Linked DNA regions of Rattus norvegicus. The protein of the gene in region 1 interacts with the protein of each later gene in a pairwise test. Links are inferred from orthologs where the notes say so. Each region holds a gene or a part of one and is shown in the gene's direction. Other genes may lie near its edges. The genes, in order: Siah1, Atn1, Upp2, Tmem43 and Rad51ap1.

What was found.
Region 2: the proteins of Siah1 (region 1) and Atn1 interact in a two-hybrid assay, tested with the Homo sapiens proteins (2 studies listed by BioGRID and IntAct). The link is inferred for Rattus norvegicus from reciprocal best matches to the Homo sapiens genes SIAH1 and ATN1.
Region 3: the proteins of Siah1 (region 1) and Upp2 interact in binary tests that used the Homo sapiens proteins (3 or more experiments, as listed by UniProt). The two-hybrid records come from large-scale screens. The link is inferred for Rattus norvegicus from reciprocal best matches to the Homo sapiens genes SIAH1 and UPP2.
Region 4: the proteins of Siah1 (region 1) and Tmem43 interact in binary tests that used the Homo sapiens proteins (3 or more experiments, as listed by UniProt). The two-hybrid records come from large-scale screens. The link is inferred for Rattus norvegicus from reciprocal best matches to the Homo sapiens genes SIAH1 and TMEM43.
Region 5: the proteins of Siah1 (region 1) and Rad51ap1 interact in binary tests that used the Homo sapiens proteins (3 or more experiments, as listed by UniProt). The two-hybrid records come from large-scale screens. The link is inferred for Rattus norvegicus from reciprocal best matches to the Homo sapiens genes SIAH1 and RAD51AP1.

Annotation. Positions count from the first base shown.
Region 1 is NC_086037.1:36,572,523-36,576,230, forward strand, and holds the end of Siah1 (E3 ubiquitin-protein ligase SIAH1), read left to right. Parts: intron 1-1,339; 5' UTR 1,340-1,341; coding exon 1,342-2,190; 3' UTR 2,191-3,251; downstream 3,252-3,708. UniProt on the Homo sapiens protein: E3 ubiquitin-protein ligase that mediates ubiquitination and subsequent proteasomal degradation of target proteins.
Region 2 is NC_086022.1:159,251,457-159,255,592, reverse strand, and holds the start of Atn1 (atrophin-1), read left to right. Parts: upstream 1-1,214; 5' UTR 1,215-1,349; intron 1,350-1,512; exon of another isoform or gene 1,513-1,661; intron 1,662-4,136. UniProt on the Homo sapiens protein: Transcriptional corepressor. Recruits NR2E1 to repress transcription. Promotes vascular smooth cell (VSMC) migration and orientation. Corepressor of MTG8 transcriptional repression.
Region 3 is NC_086021.1:63,695,165-63,698,872, forward strand, and holds part of Upp2 (uridine phosphorylase 2), read left to right. Parts: intron 1-3,197; coding exon 3,198-3,356; intron 3,357-3,708. UniProt on the Homo sapiens protein: Catalyzes the reversible phosphorylytic cleavage of uridine to uracil and ribose-1-phosphate which can then be utilized as carbon and energy sources or in the rescue of pyrimidine bases for nucleotide synthesis.
Region 4 is NC_086022.1:125,533,625-125,537,808, forward strand, and holds the start of Tmem43 (transmembrane protein 43), read left to right. Parts: upstream 1-1,219; 5' UTR 1,220-1,304; coding exon 1,305-1,316; intron 1,317-4,184. Other genes in the region: Chchd4 (mitochondrial intermembrane space import and assembly protein 40), read right to left, coding at 743-764. UniProt on the Homo sapiens protein: May have an important role in maintaining nuclear envelope structure by organizing protein complexes at the inner nuclear membrane. Required for retaining emerin at the inner nuclear membrane.
Region 5 is NC_086022.1:161,455,583-161,459,949, reverse strand, and holds the start of Rad51ap1 (RAD51-associated protein 1), read left to right. Parts: upstream 1-1,390; 5' UTR 1,391-1,457; coding exon 1,458-1,474; intron 1,475-3,780; coding exon 3,781-3,836; intron 3,837-4,367. UniProt on the Homo sapiens protein: Structure-specific DNA-binding protein involved in DNA repair by promoting RAD51-mediated homologous recombination.

The DNA of each region.
Region 1 (3,708 bases):
CTTGTGGTTAGTTACAGTGAAAGCTGTAGCCACAAGAGGGAACCCACAGGTTCAGGGAGCTCTTTGTTCAGCCCCACCCAGCGTTTGATCTTCTGTGGTTTTCTCCACTTCTTATATTCCTTCAGTCTTCAGATGAACGCACTGACTGATGGGAGACAGAAGTGATACCTGGCTGCCTTAATAAAAGACTGAGTAGACGTCTGCAGGCAGATAACAGGATGGCAGGGTTTCCTTCCCCTGTGACCTCTGAGCCCATTCCCAGAGCACAGTTCTAGTGATGATGCTGTTCATGCTGGGAAGAGTTGACCCGGCTCTAATGGTCTTTGGCATATGAACTTCATAGGACTAAAGCAGTAGGTCCTGAAGCTATGAGCAAACTCAGACTTGAGAAAAAATAGATGGAGGTGGAGACTCGGGAAAAAAGTCCAGCCCAAATAAAGTTTATATTGTAATTTAAGGTTTTCTTCTTTTAAAAAAGATTTGTTTTTATTTTATGTGAATGGGTGCTTTGCCTGCATGTCTATCTGCTCATAATATGTTTGAGTGCCCTGGCTGCCTCTAATGAGCAGCCATTTGGGTGGTGGGATTTGAACACTGGTCCTCCGGAAGACCAACCAGTGTTTTTAACTGCTAGGCCATCTCTCCAGTCTCCAGCCCTGTATTTAATTTATATTCCTCCTCTTCCCCTCCTCTTCCTCCTCTTCCTCCTCTTCCTCATCCTTTCCTCCTCCTCCTTCCTCCTTCCTTTTTTTTCTTCTTCCTTCTTTCCTTTTCTTCTGCCTCCTAAATGTTGGGAGTTAAAGGCTTGTGCCATCTTGCCCAGCTGTATTTAAGTTCTTAAGACAAAGACAGTTTTGTAGTTCTTTATTGTTTAGGAACTTTTTTGAAATTAGGTCTTCATATGTAGTCCTGCTTGGCCTGAAACTATGTATGCAGACCAGGCTGACCTCGAACTCCCTGATCCCCACCTGTATGTGTGTCTGCAGTGCAAGGGTTAAAGGTGTGGCCACAATGCCTGGTGCGATTCTTATTCTGTGTAGTCCACCCAGAGATTTCCACTGCTTTAAGAACAAAAAAGTATTTTAAACATGCTGGAGAACATTTTGGAAATACAGTTTACTCATTATATAACTCCAGAAAATTAACCTTTAGCGTTCAATTTTTATTTTATTTGTATATGGATTTAAAACTATATTTACTTAATTTTATTCTTTTATTCACGATAAATTTTGTGGTATGCTTTACAAGTATTTATGACATGTATACATACATATCTACTAATGTGTTATATTTGTAACTTTCCCCCTGCTTCCTTTTATTTTCTTGTTTTCCTTTACAGAGATGAGCCGTCAGACTGCTACAGCATTACCCACCGGCACCTCAAAGTGTCCACCATCCCAGAGGGTACCTGCCTTGACTGGCACAACTGCATCCAACAATGACTTGGCGAGTCTTTTCGAGTGTCCTGTCTGCTTTGACTATGTATTGCCACCTATTCTTCAGTGTCAGAGTGGCCATCTTGTTTGTAGCAACTGTCGCCCCAAACTTACATGTTGTCCCACCTGCCGGGGCCCGTTGGGATCCATTCGCAACTTGGCTATGGAGAAAGTGGCCAACTCCGTACTCTTCCCTTGTAAATATGCCTCTTCTGGATGTGAGATAACTCTGCCGCACACCGAAAAGGCAGAGCACGAGGAGCTCTGTGAGTTCAGGCCTTACTCCTGCCCCTGCCCTGGTGCTTCCTGTAAGTGGCAAGGCTCCTTGGATGCTGTCATGCCCCACCTGATGCATCAGCACAAGTCCATTACCACCCTGCAAGGAGAAGATATAGTTTTCCTTGCTACAGACATTAACCTTCCTGGTGCTGTTGACTGGGTGATGATGCAGTCTTGTTTTGGCTTTCATTTCATGTTAGTCTTGGAGAAACAAGAAAAATACGATGGCCATCAGCAGTTCTTTGCGATTGTACAGCTGATAGGAACACGCAAGCAAGCTGAAAATTTTGCATATCGACTTGAGCTGAATGGTCATAGGCGGCGATTGACTTGGGAAGCCACCCCTCGGTCTATTCATGAGGGAATTGCAACAGCCATCATGAATAGTGACTGCCTAGTGTTTGACACCAGCATTGCACAGCTCTTTGCAGAAAATGGCAATTTAGGCATCAATGTAACTATTTCCATGTGTTGAAACGGCAATCAAATATTTCTGGCCAGTGTTTAAAATTTGCATTTGACTTCACAGAGAATAAGGCACCCATCTGCTTGCCAACCTAAACCTCTCCTGGTAGGTAGAAGCTAGACATGAAGGTAAATAAAAAGAAAAGCTGTTAATACAGGAAACAGTTGCATGTAGTAACACTAATATATTTAAAAATAATTCAACAGTAAACCACTGAAAAATATATATACCCAAGATGGGCATCTTTTGTATTAAGAAAGGAAACATTGTAAAATATTTCTGAACTTTGTGTTTGTTGTAGATTGATTGTATTGTTGACAATTTTTTGGGGGTGTGTGTCTGTGCACGCATGCGTGCACGTGTGTGGTTGGTTTTCCTTTAACTGACAAGCCATCTGCGTGGTCATGGGCCACCGCTTTCCCCTTGTGAGTCAACACACAGTGCTGCTGTGGGGTTGTTTTTTGTTTTGTTTTTTGTTTTGTTTTTTGGTGTGTGTGTATTTGCTAATTTTTATTCTAGTTTTTCATTAAATAAATTTGACTTTCTTTTCTGTAATTCAGGTTTTTCTCACTTTTGTACCTTTTAAGTTAGCGTCTTTTTGATATCCATAATTGCTTAATGTCAGAAGTTTGTGTTCAGTACATACTTTCTTTTCCTTCAATCAATTTATTAGACATTTTTAATTCAGCCCTTCTGTGGAAATAGGAATTCCAGAAAGGAAAGGGAGCAGAGCAGCTCGTCGAGGCTGAAGCAAGTACAGGATGGTCTCGCCTCCCGACTGCTGTCCTACGCCGTCAGGTCAGGCTTACTCTCTGAAAGGTTAGCTTAGGGAGTAAACTCTGATCACTATAAATTATAAAATAATCAGGCTTTTCCTCTCTTCAAATGTCTTGGGCAAATCACATGTTTAAATTGGTTCTTGTATTTATTGGTTTTGCAAAAGAGTGCATCATCATACACAGTATTTGTAATTAAAGTAAATCATTTGTTTTTAAAAAAAGGCAGTTTGCAAAAAAATGTTTTTGGTCTTTTATAATTCTCATTAAAAGATTATCTGGCAAATTAAAAAACATTTTAATGTGTTTACTTTAGCTCTAGGTTTTTGTTTTTGTTTTTTGTTTCCCTGGAGCTGAGGACTGAATGTAGGGCCTAGCACTTGGCAGATGCTCTACCCTGAGCTACACCCTCACCCTGTGGCCCTAAGATGGATAAACTCCAAAGGTAGTTTCCTGTTCCGGTCTGTATTTTAGAGCAGAGGATTGTATGCCACTGTTTGAAGTATGTTTTATTTTAAATCACAGAAAAGACTGGACAGCTCTCCCTCCCACTTTCATTCCATTAGGACATTGGGAATATGACTAATTAATGCTGATTATTCTTTTCCTTTGTGAAAAAAGGTGAGTTATTTTATCCTTTCCTAGCTCCAGTGGTGTGGTACTGACTCTGCAGTCTGATTTTCAAGTTTCTAGGCACCAGTTTACCTCCACCCAACTTAACCATCTGTCTGACCTTGGGCCCAGTCTCCTA
Region 2 (4,136 bases), on another chromosome or scaffold:
AGCTCTTCTCTTTTCCTATCACTGACTGTCCCACCACGATACCACGCAGACCCTATTTATCTTGTGTTTCCTTCCAGGCCTAATTAATTCTCCTCCACTGTATTTGCCAAAGGAAATAGTTCTTAGTTGGATTGGAAGTCCCCACCTTCAGGTTTTATCAACCCATCCCAAACCCTAGAACGGGCATATGTCCCACCCACCCCCCACCGACCCCGCGGCCGCTCTCCCCCACCCCCACTTCTGAGACCTCTCATGCCTTCCTTCTCTCCCACAGAAGTATCTCTGGACTTTCCTCCAGCCTCCCTTCATCATTCCCAAATTCTTGTGGTTTGCATTCTTTTTAACACCAATCGCCGTCTTAAACTCTTATCTCTTCCAGAAACGCCATTCTCTTAGGGTGTCTTCTTCATCCTTTCCCGCCCAGGTCCACAAACTTCCATCGTAGTCTCTCGGAAATAGCTCTTAAACCCCTCCAGCCTCAGCTTCCTGCCCTTCCTCTCCATCTGTCCAATACAGCCCCATTATCCAAATCTCTACTTCAGTATTCCCCCAAACTCCACCTACTTCACCCCTGCCACCGCTCCTCTTGTCCCCAAACTTCTCCAGCCTCCCCAGGTCTGCCTTCGGAGTCCACAGCCCCTCCCACCCAGCCCTCTCCCGCGCGGGGCCCGCGAGCTCCCCACGCTCTGCGCCGCGAGGCCCTCTCTCTCCGCGCCCCGGCCGGCTTCGGCCAACTCGCCCGGCGCCTCCCCTTCCCCGATCCTCCGCCCCCCGACTGCCGCGCGCTCCCTCCCTCGCGTCTCCTCCGGGCCCCTCTCTCTCCTCCGTTCCTCCGCGCTCCCTCCTTCTCCCTCTTCCTCCCTGCTCCCATCCCCCTCTCCCGAGCGCCCTCCCTCCGCCGTCCGCTTTCCTGTGCGAGTCGCCGGACGCGCGGCCCAGCCCGTCCGTCCGCCCGCAGCCCCGCGCCGGCCGGGGCCTCGGGCCAGGACGTGTTTTGGGGTGGCAGGACTCGGGGCGGGCTAGGGGCGCGCAGCACGAGCGGCGGGAGGGTCGGGGGTCGCGGACCTCGCCGGGGCCGCGAGTGCGGGCGGAGGCGGGCGGCGCGGCGGGGGCGGGCGGCGCGTTCCGGGCGGGAGGGCGGGCGAGGAGCACGAGAAGCCGATCGGGGCTGCGCGGGGAGCCGGGCATGGGGGCCGCCCTCCGGGGGGGCCGGGGCCGCCGCCGCCGCCGCCGCGGCAGCGACTGAAGCCGCGCAACAAGGAGGGGCGGGGAGTGGTCGCCGCCGTCCCCGGGAGGCGCCGGAGCTCGACTGCACTCGCTGCCAGCCAGCCGTCCCGAGCCGCTCGCAGGTAAGGTCCGCCGCCGCCGGCCCGGGCCGCCCCGTTCCGGCTCGCGGCTCCCCGCCCCCACCCTCCCGGTCCCCCCTCCCGCCGCCGCCTCCATTTGTTATTTTCCCGGTCGCGTTCCCTTATTGCGGGCACGACCGGGCCCGAGGCTGGGGACTCAGGGGGTGGGGCCGCCCGGAGGAGGGACGCGGGCCCGGGAGTCGCGAGCTCGGGAGGTGGGGGGGAGGAGGGTCTTGGTAGGAGGGCTGACGGGGCAGAGCGTCGCCAGGACCAGAGCCTAAAGGGGAGGAACGCCGAGGTGGAGACTTGGCGGAGGTAAACCGGGGGATGCTGTGCGGGTGGTTCGCGGAGAAGGCAGGACGGATCGGAGAGATGGCAGCGAGGTGGGGCGTGCAGGCTCCAGTAGCCCCACAGGCCCAGAATCCGTGTTCCAGAACCCAGGGTTGCGGGTTTTAGGAACAGGGAAGTGGGAACAGGGAAAGGGGTGTGGTAGGTGGTAAAAGGAGAATTGTGGTAGCCGAGAGGGGGGAATTGAACCTGGGGGGGAATGGAGATGAACCAGGAGAGGCCCATCTTTTTGAAGACGGACGTTTTCTGGGGGTGGAAATGGGAAGGCCGTATCTTTTGTGACTCAGTTTTCTTTTACCCCACTCCCGGTCACCTCTGACCCTGTTTTGCTAATCCCAGACCTAGTTACTTCGTGAAGGGGGCCACTGAGGCTTAGTAGTGTGAGTCCTCCTAACACTAATAAGAAAGGCAGCAATTCTGAAGGAGGAATTAGAAAGGTTGGGAGGATGGGAAAGAAGAGAGGATTGGGCAATCATATAGGCATTCCAAGGAATTGTGACCTCCGCCCTCACCCCCAAGCGTTGGATGCCCCGTAGCTGGGCTCTATCTAGGAGGTCTTCCTTACTGCTTTGATCTCAAAGATCTCCCTTTGTGCCTGGGGCGGGTTACTCTAAAGCTCCCTTCCCTGAGGGTACCGTGAGAAGGTCGGAGTTGCTTTGGCAACTAAGGTGGTAATAGTGGCAGCCAGATGGACCCCTGGGATGGTCTCTTGGGGGGCCCTTTTTTTTATCCATTTAGTTGTCATGGCAGTGAGCCAGTGGGGAGTCCAATAGGTGGGGATTCAGTATGTAGATTGGGCCTCAGTCAGCCTATAGCTTTGTCCTTGGTGGGCGGTAGATCTCTGGTAGGTATTTCTGGTGTTGCCCCAAGTAGGGGTCTCCTGAGGAGGTGCACCCCTTCTCCTCCAGAAGTCTTTTGGAACAAGTAACCCTGTTGCTTGCAGGTCATTCTTGCCAGTCTCTACCTGGGTATGGTGGAAAGATGAAAATATTGTTGTTCAGACTATGTGGTCTTGGGCTGGGGGGTGTAGCTCAGTAGTGTTATTTCTTAGCATGCATACATAGGCCCCGGATTTGAGCTCCAGAACCAAAAACAAAATAAAAAAACCAAGTTATACCCCCGTGGGCAATTTCTGTCGGTCTCTACCACTCTTACTGTCTTATAAACAGTTGATTCTTTGAACTGTTTTATTTTCTTGAATTCCTCTTTGGATCTCTCTTCTCCTGTCATTTCTCAGGGTGACCCTTTCATTCAAATGCCCTTTGGCCTTTATTCTGGACTTACAGAAATGGCATGGTTCTTCATGCCTGTCTGGGTGAGGGTGGCCCAGGGGAGGGCTGTGAAACAGCCTAGAGCAGAGCCGGATGCTCTGGAGACCCAGGTGTACTTCTCCATGTTCCTCTATGACCTTGGGCAAGTCACTTCTCTCATCTTTGAGCTTCACCTTCATTGTATGATGAAATGACCCCTGGCTCCTTCAACAGACCTGGGTTCTAACAGGACTTAGGGAGCTACGTTGTTATCTGCTGGTCTGTGCCTCGTGGATGTCTTGGTCACTTTCCTCTGACTGTTAATCTGGCAAATCTAGAATTATGAGGGGTGGTCGGTGACCCTGAAACACACCCTTTATGCTCTTCCCAGGGAATCTGTGACGTGGTCACTTTCTGACATTCCTGTCATATTTGCAGACTTGTTCCTTACTTTCTTTTTTTTTTTTTTAATTTAATTATATTTATTTGTGTGTGTGCTGTGGTGCACATTCGGAGGTCAGAGGGTAACTTGAGTTCGTTTTCTTCTTCCGCCATGTGGGCCCCATGGTCCAACTCAGGTCATTCATTTCAGTAGCGATCTCTGGTTTTTGTTTGGTTTTGAGATGGACTTATATCCAGAACGGGCCTTGAACTCACTGCCTAAGGAAATGACCTTGAAATTGCCCCTACCTCTGCAGTCCTGAGATTGCAGGCAAGAACCACACCCTGTTTTATAAGGTGCTGGGGATGTAACCCAGGGCTTCTGGAACTCTCGTCCCGGGTCTCTGTTCCACACCCGTTTTCTCTGCCTACTCATGAACTCTTTTCTGATTTCTCATTTCCCTGCCTTCCTGGTTTTGGCCTTCCTTGTTTTCCTTTTGTGAGGAGGGAATGAGGAAAATGTGTGTGGCTGTCCTCGGTAGATGCTTCTAAATGTTAAAGGCAGCCTTTAGGTAAGATGGAGCGCCATTTGGCCAGTTAGTTTTACAGCCCCACGGTACCTGTGTTCAGACTTAACCTATGCTCTGGCCCCAGCCTCAGTCCCATCCCTTCCTCTGCCCATCTTTATCCCAGGAACTTCCGCCCCACTGAACACTGTTTTTCTATCAGATTTCAGCTGATTAAAAAAGGTAAGAAAGGCTCAGTGACTGCCCTGTTCTCCAAGGAACTTTGTTGTATTTTTTGACCTTTT
Region 3 (3,708 bases), on another chromosome or scaffold:
ACTTCATGGTGTCATCAGAATTTTAAGTAACATGGAAAGTCATTGCTTCATAAGACTTCAGACTATGCATTGGACTGTTTATAGTCCTTAATATACAAAATGCATAAACTCTGTGTTGTAAATTAATGCCATATGGCAAAACCTTTTAAGCTACTGGGGATGTTTGAAGGTGAGTTTGTTCTGGAAGTCGTTAGGCAAAAGCCTGAAAATATTTTTATAATGCTTTATTCCTGCCCAATGCATTTCTACCTTTTTTGATAAATCCTGGACAAAGATCATTTTGTTTGGAACATAAATCACAGTCAGTGCCACTGGTGACCAATGTTGGCCGGTGGTCTTCAGCTGTGTGTTATTTCTTATTAAAGCAGCCAGGCTGGTCATGGTGTCTACAGGCGATGCTTAGTGAATCTGGGAGTAGGTGTCAGGAGCTAAGCTTGCTTCTGTCTATGCATGTCTCCAGAAATCTGCAGACATTCTGCCTGATTACTGTAATATCTACAGTTCAAAGCAGAACACAAACTGCAAACTATTCTAACATCTGTTTTGGTTTTATGGTCAATGCAAATGATTATAATTTAGATGTACTGGCACCACACTGTGAGGTTATTTTCAATCTCCTGTATTTTGTATATTAAAAGGGGCCTTCTTGTACTTAGACCTTGACCTACGCACAGCAAGAAAGTGCTTAACTACTCATAACAAGAAAGGAGCAAAGTCCATGAATAATCAATAGTATTCGAGGCTTACCTTAAACATGGCCTGCCTTGCTGTCTTGTCTCTAGCCTTTAAGGCTGGCTTCATTACTACCTTAAGGCCCCATCGAAAAACCTCCTAGAGAATTCCAGAGAAGGCAGCAGAGAGGGCAGATGAGAAGCAATGCCCAGACAAAAAAGAGTAATTACGTCCTGTGATTGAAAGTTACTGTACGCTGCCCAGAAATTACTGTTAAGTGGAAACAGGATGCATCATGAGATCAGACCACCCAATACTTCTGTTGATCTCTTACATGAAGGACACCCACTCAACAACCTCAGGAATTTCTTCAGACAGCCCCTGCGAAGGCCCTTGCTAGCCTTCCTTGGCTCTTCTGCCCAAAACTGCCCACATCAGCCAGGCACCACTAAGTGTCTTTTTCCCCCCAAGAAAACTTAAGTTGGCTTCATTTTTAACTGAATTCTGCACCAGAGATGTGGGCTCAAAATGCAGGCCAGAGCAGTGTTATCTGATATGAAAGGTAGAAGTCCACAGATGTGGACACTGAGAAGGTTCCAGGATCCATGCCTGGTCCTTTGTTAAATTCAGTCCTACTTCATCCTGATTAAACTTGAGAGTGCCAGAGATGATGATCTGAGGAATATAAAGGTTTCGTGTGTTGCTGAGCAAGTGACTTAATCAGTGGTGAGCTAGTGCTCAAAGCCAAGTGTGCCTACACTCAAATGGCAGCTGTCCAGCATTCCTTGGCTTTTGCTTTCTGTACTTCACTCTATACGCCACGCCATATATACCACACCACATATACCACATTACATATACCACATCACATATACCACATTAAAATGCTGTATCACATATAGAATACCACTTATACTACACCATATATACCACATCACATATACCACATTACATATACCATACCACATATAGCACATCAAAATACTGTATCGCATATAGCATACCATATATACTACACCATATATACCATATCACATATACCACATTACATATACCATACCACATATGGCAAATCAACATACTGTATCACATATAGCATACCACATATACTACACCATGTATACGACATCATATATACCGCGTTACATATACCATACCACATATACCACATCAACATACTGTATCACATATAGCATGCCACATATACTACACCATATATACCATATCACATATACCACATTATATATACCATACCACATATAGCACATCAAAATACTGTATCACATATAGCATACCATAATACTGCACCATATATACCACACCACATATACCACATCAACATACTGTATCACATATACCATGCCATAATACTGCACCGTATATAGCATATCACATATACTATACCACATATACCACATCTCTTACATCATACCATATAGACCATATCACATACACCATACTGTATATATCACACCACACATGCTCCCTCTCTTATGACACACCACACCACATTTGCACCATACCACACGGCTTTTGTTTCAGAGTAGATTTCTGCCTGACAACCTTCTGTGTGCTCTGCTTCCTCTTGGCCTTCAGACCCCTCTCTCTGTTGCTAATCCTGCTTGGTACCCACCTGGATGCCTACTCATGGAGGCCACCAACAGGACACTCCTTTCCTTTCTCTCTGGCATATTCTTCCATCCTTGGGGTTGACGTATCACTAACAGATTGTGACACAACTAATTATAATTTTCTTCTTGAGATAGGGTCTCACTATATAGTCTGGTCTGGCATCAAAAGCACTATGCAGTCCAGGCTGCTGTCAAACTCATAATCCTCCTGTCTTAGAACTCTGGCTGTAGGTATGCGTTACCATGCCTAACTGCTGATTATCAACACATTTTATTAGGCATGACAACCTTTGACTGCAACATCTACCCTAAAGTCAGAGAACAAGATAAATACAAAAGCAAATTAGTGGGATGGATGACCAACTGCAGTCAAGTTCTGAGCTTACAGTAACAAGCCGTGTTCCATTATGATTTTTTTCTCAGTGAAGGAAAGTCTTGAGATGCTTCCTATAAAGGTTGAGGGTATCATAGTAAATTTTAAAATAAAGGATCCCGATTAGGGTGGATACACAGAAAACAGTAAAACTGGCAAGTGCTTACAATCTACATCCTTAGCACTTGACACTAAACGTGTCACGTGAGTGCTCCCCACTAGGATGATTATAGCCATGAAGATGCCGGCTGATGCTACCACACCACCAGGAAACACCTCCTTGAACAATGTGAACATTTACATGATTTTCTTCACTAATTTAGTACATAATGCATTTCAACTAGTTGCCTCTTTTCAGGTTAATGACGTAAATGAGCCAAATTTTGAACACAATCAAAGATATCTACGCACACTCAGAAGTAAATTAAATGCGCTGCAAAAACAAAAACGTTAGAACCGGATGTTGCCCCTTGCTCTTATCCTAGTGATGACGGTAGGCACCCGTTCATTTTTGTTGACAGTTTGTCTGCGTTGGTGGGAGCTCGAACAGAATGAAAGCGTTTGCACTGTTTATGCACAAGGAACTCGGGTTGGAGGGAGATGGAGACGACATCGAGGACATCTGTGCGGGGACAGACAGATACTGCATGTTCAAAACAGGCCCTGTGCTCTCCCTCAGTGTAAGTAGGGGACGGCTGCAGGCCAGCTAGACTTTGTGGGATGCACACCAAACTGGGACCATCTGAACACAGTTCTCTCTCCATGCTGCTGTGTCCTCTTACACAAGGAACGCAAGTGAAGAAGTTAATACAACTGGGAAAAGGTTTTTGGGACAGGGCAGAGCATGCAGGGTCACTACCTGCCTTTATACTCACTACTTAACTATTAGGAAAGGGCAAAAGTCTTCAAAGCTCATCTCTCTTTCTATTCCTAACTGATCAACATGGTCCCCTTCCTAGCCATTTCCTTTCCTCTTTTATCAAGGCTTTAGGAGCCTTGAGCTACTCATAGAGGCCAATTCTCAGGATTGTT
Region 4 (4,184 bases), on another chromosome or scaffold:
TGATGCCTGGTCTCTCAATTTACAAGAGTGGAAACTAGGGCCTGGAGGGTTTGGCAGCTCAAATATAAGGAGCCAGTTAGTGCTGGGAGGCCTTAGAGCAGACTGGTCTGGATTCTTCTGGGCTCCTGTCTATGGGTAATAGGTAGAGGAAGTGAGTGATCCTCAACGTGGCTAGAAATGACGGAAGAAAGCAAGTCCTTTCGTATAGGGCTCCAGTTTCATGACCTGATGTGGGCTCTTGGATCGAGTAACCTGTCCTAATTTACCGTTTGATAAAAATGTGGATAGTAAAAGAACCCGATATATAAAGACCGCTACGTGAAATTTAAAAGAGTGCCTAGTAAACAGGAGGAGCTCAATAAGTGCTCCTGCTAGTGGCACTTCAGCACACCCACTCAAGCCCAAGTGGTAATTTTCCGGGATATTTAAAAAGCCTAAGCGGGAGAGAAACATGTGGTGAGTGCGAGGAGCGACGGGGGCTGATTCCTAACAGTCCCCGATTTCCAGCCAGATACAACATACTCCACACTAGCAGGGCCCACGTGAGGGCCTCCGAGGCCCGAGTTCGGGCTTCACCTTGACCTTGGACCAGCCTCGTTCCTCACTGAGCCTCTGCCTTTCTCATTTGGAAACCGCCGCGTGAGGCCCACTAAAGGGCCCGCAGCCGCTCGATGGAAACCACTAGACCGCGTGTCTCTCGCAGGCCCGCGCCGGCCGGTCTCCATGGCAGCGCCCGACTCACCTTCCTGCCGGCAGTAGGACATGGTTGTTCTCAACGTTCCCAGCTCGCAGAGGGAGCAGGCGCGGCTACAGCGGCTACACCTTCTCGTTGTGACCTCCCTCGCCTCTTCTCAGGCCTGGCGGGTGGCACTGAGGCCCACACGGACCCGCCCCCTCCAGGCCTGCCCGCCGCGCGCCTGCCTCCGCTCGTCCTAAGCGCCAGCACCGCTTCTCAGTCGAAAATACATTGACCAGCAGCCTTTGCGCCCGCCAACTAAAGCTATACTACATTTCCCAGAAATCTTGCAGCGCGCACGCGCACCAGTGAAATATTGTGTTTTGTAATTTTGTGGTGAAAGCGTCCGACGTCCGACTACATTTCCCAGCAATCCTTGAGACGCGCATGCGCAGACAACTTGAGACGTAGGCGGGGCCGTAACTCTTATCCCGAGTCCCGCCAGGTCCTGGATTCCTCGAGGAGTCTTGCAGCTCTGTGGCAGACAGGACACCGTATTCTGCGTTCCGGTCGTCATCCCAATTCCTAGAGGAACAAAGCAAGACGGCGGCAGCGAACCAGGCCCACCATGGCAGCGAACGTGAGTGCTTCCTGATCCCCGGGTTACACCATTATCTGGGTCGTTTTTCCCCTAGGTTTGCGCTGGGTCCTTCGGCCTTGCGACCCCAGTGGGTGCGGCTGCCCTCAGCTCCCTGAACTCGTCTATCTCGGGCTGCACGTTTGTGGGACTCAGCTCTTAGTCGAATCCGCTCGTGCACGGCTGCTTCTTCCACTCCTAGTTTCTTTCTGGGCCCCTGGGGATATAAAACTTGTGGAACTGAAGGACCACGAGAAAAGTGTCTGTCGGTGAGCAGATTAAGGTGCTCCTGCCCAGGTGGAGCTGTCCAACAAAGGCTGCTTTGGTCTCCGCTCCCTAGGGGGTGTGTGCTCCTAGGCTGTGATGTAGCAGGACAAGCCTGGCTGGATGACCTAGAAAGGGAGGCTTTTCTCTACTGCTCGGTTCCTGGTGCACTGATTTGGGTAGAGACCCTGACTGAAGATAGTTGCCCCAGACCTCTGGCCATTTCCTACTGCAACTAGTCCTTAACTTTCCTAGTGAATCCTAACATTCATTCAACAAACGGAGCAACACCACCTACTAGGGGACTGGGTGTGGAAGAAGCTGGTGACTCATAAATGCCTCTGGTGAAAGCGCCTCTGGAACCAGCTCAGGAGCACTGCCAGCCCCAGTCACACCCTCTCTCCCTCCTTGGTAGAGTGTCATTGCAGCCATCCTTGGGCCTGTTACACCCTCTTCCCAGGCCCCTCCTCTGTCCTCAAACTTCTTGGCCTCCTACACCTCCTGGGAGATCAGAGTTTGTTTCACCCACTGTCCAAGCAATATCTGCTTGGCACATTGTCCGGCCCTAGAAGGGGAGGAGAACCAAAGGTTAGGAATGCTGCACTGGAACCAGAGGAGAAGGCAACCAGCAGGCCAGCCGGGCAAGAGTGGGCGGACCCCTTCGGATCCATATGTTCAACGTCAAATTTTACAGTTCCCCAGCAGAAGACACCTGCTTGGGGGCTTTTAGACAGTTTGGCTTGCTATATCATCAGCCTGGGAAGGTGCAGATGAGGGCAGGCTTTGGAGGCAAATCCAGATTCTTCCACTCTTAACAAGCCTCTGGGTTTACCCTCATGGGATCAGTTACTGTGAAATTTGAGGGAGGTTGCTGGGCACAGAGCCTGGTACATGGGAGGTGCTTAATCCTTGAAAAAGTCACACTTAGAGGCTAGTACACACAGCCCTGGTGGGCAGAAGCCATCTTGGGTCTGACTCTCACACCAACAAACAGACACAATGGATATCTTCAGTAAGCGTGCCTTTGTCCATCCATTGTTACGTGACTTTCCCGGGAAGACATGAACATTCATCCATGTCAGTCAGGATAATCATAGACCAAAGGAGCCATTGCACCAACTCCATCTTGGTGAACCATCTTGGGCTTACTCACAGGAGCGTGGGTATTACCAGAGTCCCACGCCGGCATGGGTGACTGCCTCTGGAAGGCTGCCTAGATGGAGGTGTGTGCCCTCCCTTCCACTAGCCCTCTGCCTCCTGTATCCTCTGCACACTGCTGGGGGTGGGACACAGAGGGAAGTGAGAAGCCAGAATCCCAGGCAAGGTTATAAAGATCCTCTTCTACTCTTCCAGGGAACGTGCCGCATAATGTGAGGGCTTCATTTGGGCAATCTAAGCTATTCCGATTTCAATATGACAGTGGCTCTGCCGTGCCTAGGGACGGTACCAGAGCATCCACGCAGTAGCTGAGTCACCAGGCAGGGTAAGCAAGGGAATCTTAAGACAGTGAGTGGAACAAAAGCCCCTGAATTCAGTATAACAACTTTCCTGTCAGGTAGGTGTTGTCACCAGCAAGTGAGGAACCAGAACCAGAAAGGCGGAGCACATGTTGCCAGGCTCATATAGCAACAGCTGGGACTCCAATCCTGGTGTGCCAATTTCCAGGCCCAGTGTGTTCCCACCCATTGCTTCATTGCTTGTTGATTCTGAGCCCGGTGTGCTGGAAGTGGAACACGTTACTGTGGATACATAAGTGTGTATACATATACACACACATATACACACAGGTGCTATTTCCCACCTCACCTCTCTCCCAGCTGGAGGGACGTCTTCCTGGTTTCCCTTCCTTCCTGGCCTTAAGGGGAGCCAGCAGGGATACACGTCTCCTTTTCCGTTGTTCAGCCTGAATTGCGCTAATCGATGAAGAAGACAGTCTAGGGTAGAGGGCCCTCCCTGCATTGCACACCCACTTACTACTTACAAGGTGTTGAACCAGGCTGATAACCTAAACAGTGGGTCTCGATTTCTTCTTCTGTGAAATGGGTAGTGGTAGCCTCTTTACCCTTGAGCCAGCCCATGATTGGCCTGTAACAAATGAGTATGTCATTTTGGGCATCTGCTGGCTTATGGCTGCCTTCTTGTCTGCAGTGGTTGTCTCCACTGAGTTTTATATGGTATTGTTCTGGATACCGTGGGTGTCCTCAGCAGGCCTGAGCCAGCAGTGGACAGCCGCCAGAAGTAGCATTAGCTCTGCTCAAGGATTCTGTCTCAAATCCATCCTCTGATCCTGGGCAGGAAGGGGCCTGGCTCTCTGAGGTGCCTGCCAGGTGACCACTTTGTATCTCTGTGACTTCCATCCACACCCACAGTCTGGGTGGCAGCTCCAGTTTCAATTGTGGAGAAATCTGATAATGTTCCTATTAGCCACAACTCCCACAGGTGCCTATGAGGCCCCAGCATGGAGCCACCACCCCAAGCATTGGGTTTTCACCCCCACTTTACCTGTGAGGACATGGAGGGCCCACAACTAGTGGGTGGCAGAGCCAGGATTCAGGCTCAGTCCCTGTTCTTGGTGATGAGCACTAGACGTACTTCAGACAGTAACAA
Region 5 (4,367 bases), on another chromosome or scaffold:
ACCTAAATATTTATGTTTACCCACAGACAAGCACTATTCTCAGCCTTAATCAGAGAACTGTTTCTTTCCAGGGAACAGTAGTGAGTGGAGAGTCTCCAGGTGACACAAGGTGCTGAGAACAAGTGGTAGATAGGGACTCGGCCCTAAATGAGACATTTATACCACCCCTTTGAAGGCTCAAGGAACACAGCAGAAAAGGAAGTGGAAAAATATAGGAACCAGAACATAGAGAAGAAAACAATGCCATCTTCTGACAAGATACTGCCATTACAATCATAAACTCACTGCAGTGTCAGATGTCTGCATAAGATTGGGCCCATCAACAGCAAAGGGAGGCGAGAGAAAGACTCAGAAGGACCCATGTGCCAATAAGGAACTGTTTTCTATGGGCAGATTCAGGAAAGATAAGTTTTTTCAGATGTGTGTTCACGGGTGCCCCCACCAGGCTCCAACGAGTAGTTGCAATGCTCACACATCTGCTCTGGATAAGATATTGGGTCACAAAAACAAACAAAAACAACGCCATGAATCTGGAAAGGATACTGGTGGAGATGCGGAGACTAGTAGGGATGGGGAAGTTAGTAGGGACGGGTGCGATATGAGGTGAACGAGACAGTAATCGGAATACACTGTGTACATGTAACAGAACAAAATCACGTTTTCATGTTACTCTTTGCTTGTGCAGTCTGCTGATTTCAGGATAAAATTCATCTTAACCCAGTTTACATCTCCAGATTCTCTGGGTGTGCCTATCTACACCCTGCCAGAGCAGCATGCAAAACTCCAAGTCTAGTTCTCCACAAATACTGAACTGTCAATGGCAAACTGCACTCCAGCACTTTAGATAGCCCCCATAAAGCTTGCTTCTGTTCTTTAAGCCTGTAGCAGGTACCGTCATTAGGTCCTCCATACTGAAGGGGTTTCTTCGCTATGGGATCGAACTCACCTCTTCACTCAAACACCAAGGCACACTTAGAGCTGTCAACGCAGAACTGCCCAATAAGTCAGCTGACTTCTAGCTTGTTTTGTACAGTTAGCAGATTCGCTTCGGCAGATTCGGTACCCGTCTGTTTCTTTTTTTCTCAAGCGCCAAGAAAACTCTATCCAAGAGCTCCTTTATTCCAGTCATCTTTAAGTTGATCATTCTAAATATTGGAGGCGTGTTCCTACTTTTATATTGCATTTTAGAGTTGGTACCACATCGCTGTTGTGACGAAAGTGCAGTAGCAAAACAAACTCTGGGTCTGGGCGGCAGGATCCAGAATGCCGTGCCCTGGCAAAGGTGTGTGCGCGCAGGCGCTCTTTCCTCAGTACGCAGGCGCCGCCTTAGGCAGGAGAGCGATGATTGGTGGGCTGGCGTACCGGGGCGTGGAGCCCGACGTCTGGTTTTGGGCGGGAATTGAAACCGCCACAGCTGCTCTCCAGCTCCAGGTCGCTGCTGTCCTAGGAAGGGCACCATGGTGCGCCCTACCAGGTGAGTAGTCGATGACGTCCCGCGGGGCAGGGAGGAAGAACGGGGGACGCTGGGGGCCACTGTCATACATGGCTTAGGGAGAGGACAGGGTCGGACAGAGGACAGCGGGGTTGTGTGCTTGTCGCCAGTCTCTGGTGAGAGCCACCCGCTGCTCAGAGTGGCCCGCCTAGCATCCTGCTTTCCGCCTCTCGGCTTCCTTTTGCAGCTGTTGCCCGCTGACTCTCCCGACCCCAGAGAGACACGGCAGGTTGGCATTTGAACCGCGCTTTACGTGGCCGCTAGTGACCATGTATGTGGCCTTCATATGTTGAACACTACAACAGCCCAGCGATACAGAAAAGGCAGTCGTGCCTATATTGAGCCCCTCAAATCCCTAAGAAGAGCGACCCATTTAACTGAACATCCAGCTCAAGCCGTGGTGCCTTGTCACATGACTCCAGTCCTTTTCTGCTTTCCCTTAGACAGTTGGAATCCTCTCTCCGTGATCACAACTGGGATGCTATCCATTTAGTAGACTGACTGAATATTGCAGAGACTGGCCCAGTGGTGGATTGATTGCCTAGCAGATGAGAGGTCCCAGGTTCAATCCCTAGTCCTGCAAAACCAAACAAATTAACTTAGTGAATTCACCTAGGCCTGTACTGTATTAAGAGCTGGAGCTTACCCTATTGGAAGATGGGGGGCGGGGTAACAAAATAAACACCACAATGGAACATAGGAGGAAGGAGAAAAGCCTCACTTTGGGGTCCTTTCTCTCCTTGCACCTTCTCATGGATCCAGGAGTCAGAGTTGGGTTTAAGGTTGCACAGCAGTTGACTTTAGCCACTTCGGCTCACTTTGGTTGTACTTTGTTTACAAACCACCTGTCTTCACTCTTCTATCATTTACACTACAATGATGATAGGACTATTGGAACCTTAACAAAAATTGAGGCAGTGACGTCGAACTGTGCTGGTTAGTCCTTGCAGTTTCTACTGCCACCTACTCAGATGTTTTGTTTTGTTTTAAAAACAGAAGCATTCATGGGCTGGCTCGATAGTTAAAAGAGTGGTTGGTGCTCTTCCAGAGGTCCCAAGTCCCGTTCCTAACCACTTCAGACACTTTACAACTCTTCCAGCTCAGGGGGACCCAGTACTCATGTGCATATACCCACACGCAGACACCTTCATATCCACATATTTTAAAAGAGCTTTTAAAAAGTAATGGTTTCCTGCATATCTCACTCCAGTGAGTCTCTAAAATACATACAGTAGGTAATTTGTGTTTAATGAATCAATAAGAATCCATGTCTGTTACAACTCAACCCAAGTATATTATTTTTTTAGTAGGCTTTTGGTTCTATTTACTATTTTTCAATCCCACAATTCCTAAAGATGCTTTCATAGTTTATGTAGCTGTCAAATTCTTACACTCTGACGTGTGGGAGAGAACATGAACACCTTTCCTTTTGATGTGCGTTCTCTCAAGGAAACACAAGTCTGGATCATGAGCTGAATGGTGGACAAGCCACTTTTTCACAGAACTCCTATTTTTGCCTGAAAGAACGGCAACTGATGAACGAACTTGTACACATGGGGAAGACAGGGCAGCCTTACATTGCTTTCCCAGAGGAAGGAGATGAACCTTTCTACATTGAGCATCCTTTTCCTCTGCCCTCTTAGTTCCCACAAAGATGCTGGGAACAGACTACTGTAAAGTGTGCATTCCATTAAGAAAGCATTATTTGGTATTGTAGGGGGATTTATTTTAAAGTTTTTTTGTTTGGCTTTGGTTTGAGTTTTTAGGTGTCTGTGTGGGTGTTTCATGTGCGTGCAATGTCTGAGGAAGTCAGAGGGTTCTTAGTCCTCCTGGAGCTGGAGTTACAGGAGTTGTGGGCTGCCTGGCATGGGTGTTGAGAACCAGATTCATGTCCTCTGAAAGAACAGTGCATGCTCTTAATCATGGAGTCTCAGCTCTGCTCTAACTGAATTTTTAAAATGTGGTTAAAACTGAACAGGTACTTTATAGTGTAAGCAAAGAAGGGCACACAGTTTATAAATACCCAGTTGCCACTAAACAATACAAAGCTTAATTGATAATAGTTGTTTTCTCTTTACTTTGGGAGTTTCCTGAATTAATTTCTCTTCTCATTATGTGTATTAGGTATGGGTTTGGTGTTTCCGTTAATGCCAAGTACTTGGCTTTGGATTGAAGTACTTTTGAGAGACTCCAAACACATTTTCCTTTCTTCAAGACTATTAAAAACTTTAAGGTGAAGGTAAAATATTAATATGTACAGTAATGAAAAATTTCTGTCTTGATCATAGAAATAAAAAACCAGTCAATTATTCACAGTTTGAGGATTCTGGCAATGACTCTGATGGTAAGTAGAGCCTTTTACTTTTCTTTAATACATTGAGAAATGTATTTCTTTGGAGTCAGATATGGAAAAATTTACCCTGAAAGCTTAGGTTTAAGCTTTGTCATTGTATTGATCATATATTTGTCTTTGTTGTCAGAACTTTGATCAAAGTTAGAGAAACATTTCATTAGATTACAGTGCACTTGTAGTAAGATAATTTTCTTCTGCATGTGTGTGTGTGTTGCTATGTATTTTGGGGTTGTGCGTTGGGGAGGAGAGTGTTTACTGGGGATCAGACCCAGGGCCTCACACATGCTCTTCCCAGACCACCAAATTCTCCTTTAAGTCAAATACTTTAGCAGTTCTCAGTTCAGAGAAGTCTGTTTTGCACTGTGTCCACAGCTTGAGGAAAAAGTGGTTTGGCAGATAAGTCGTCGTTTTCCATTGCTGTCACGGGGATGTAACAGGTACTGACAGATTACCAGTTGTGTTCATGACCCTGGGTAGGGTGCAATGTGCAGAAAGTTATGGTATATTTCTGTACCTGGATGC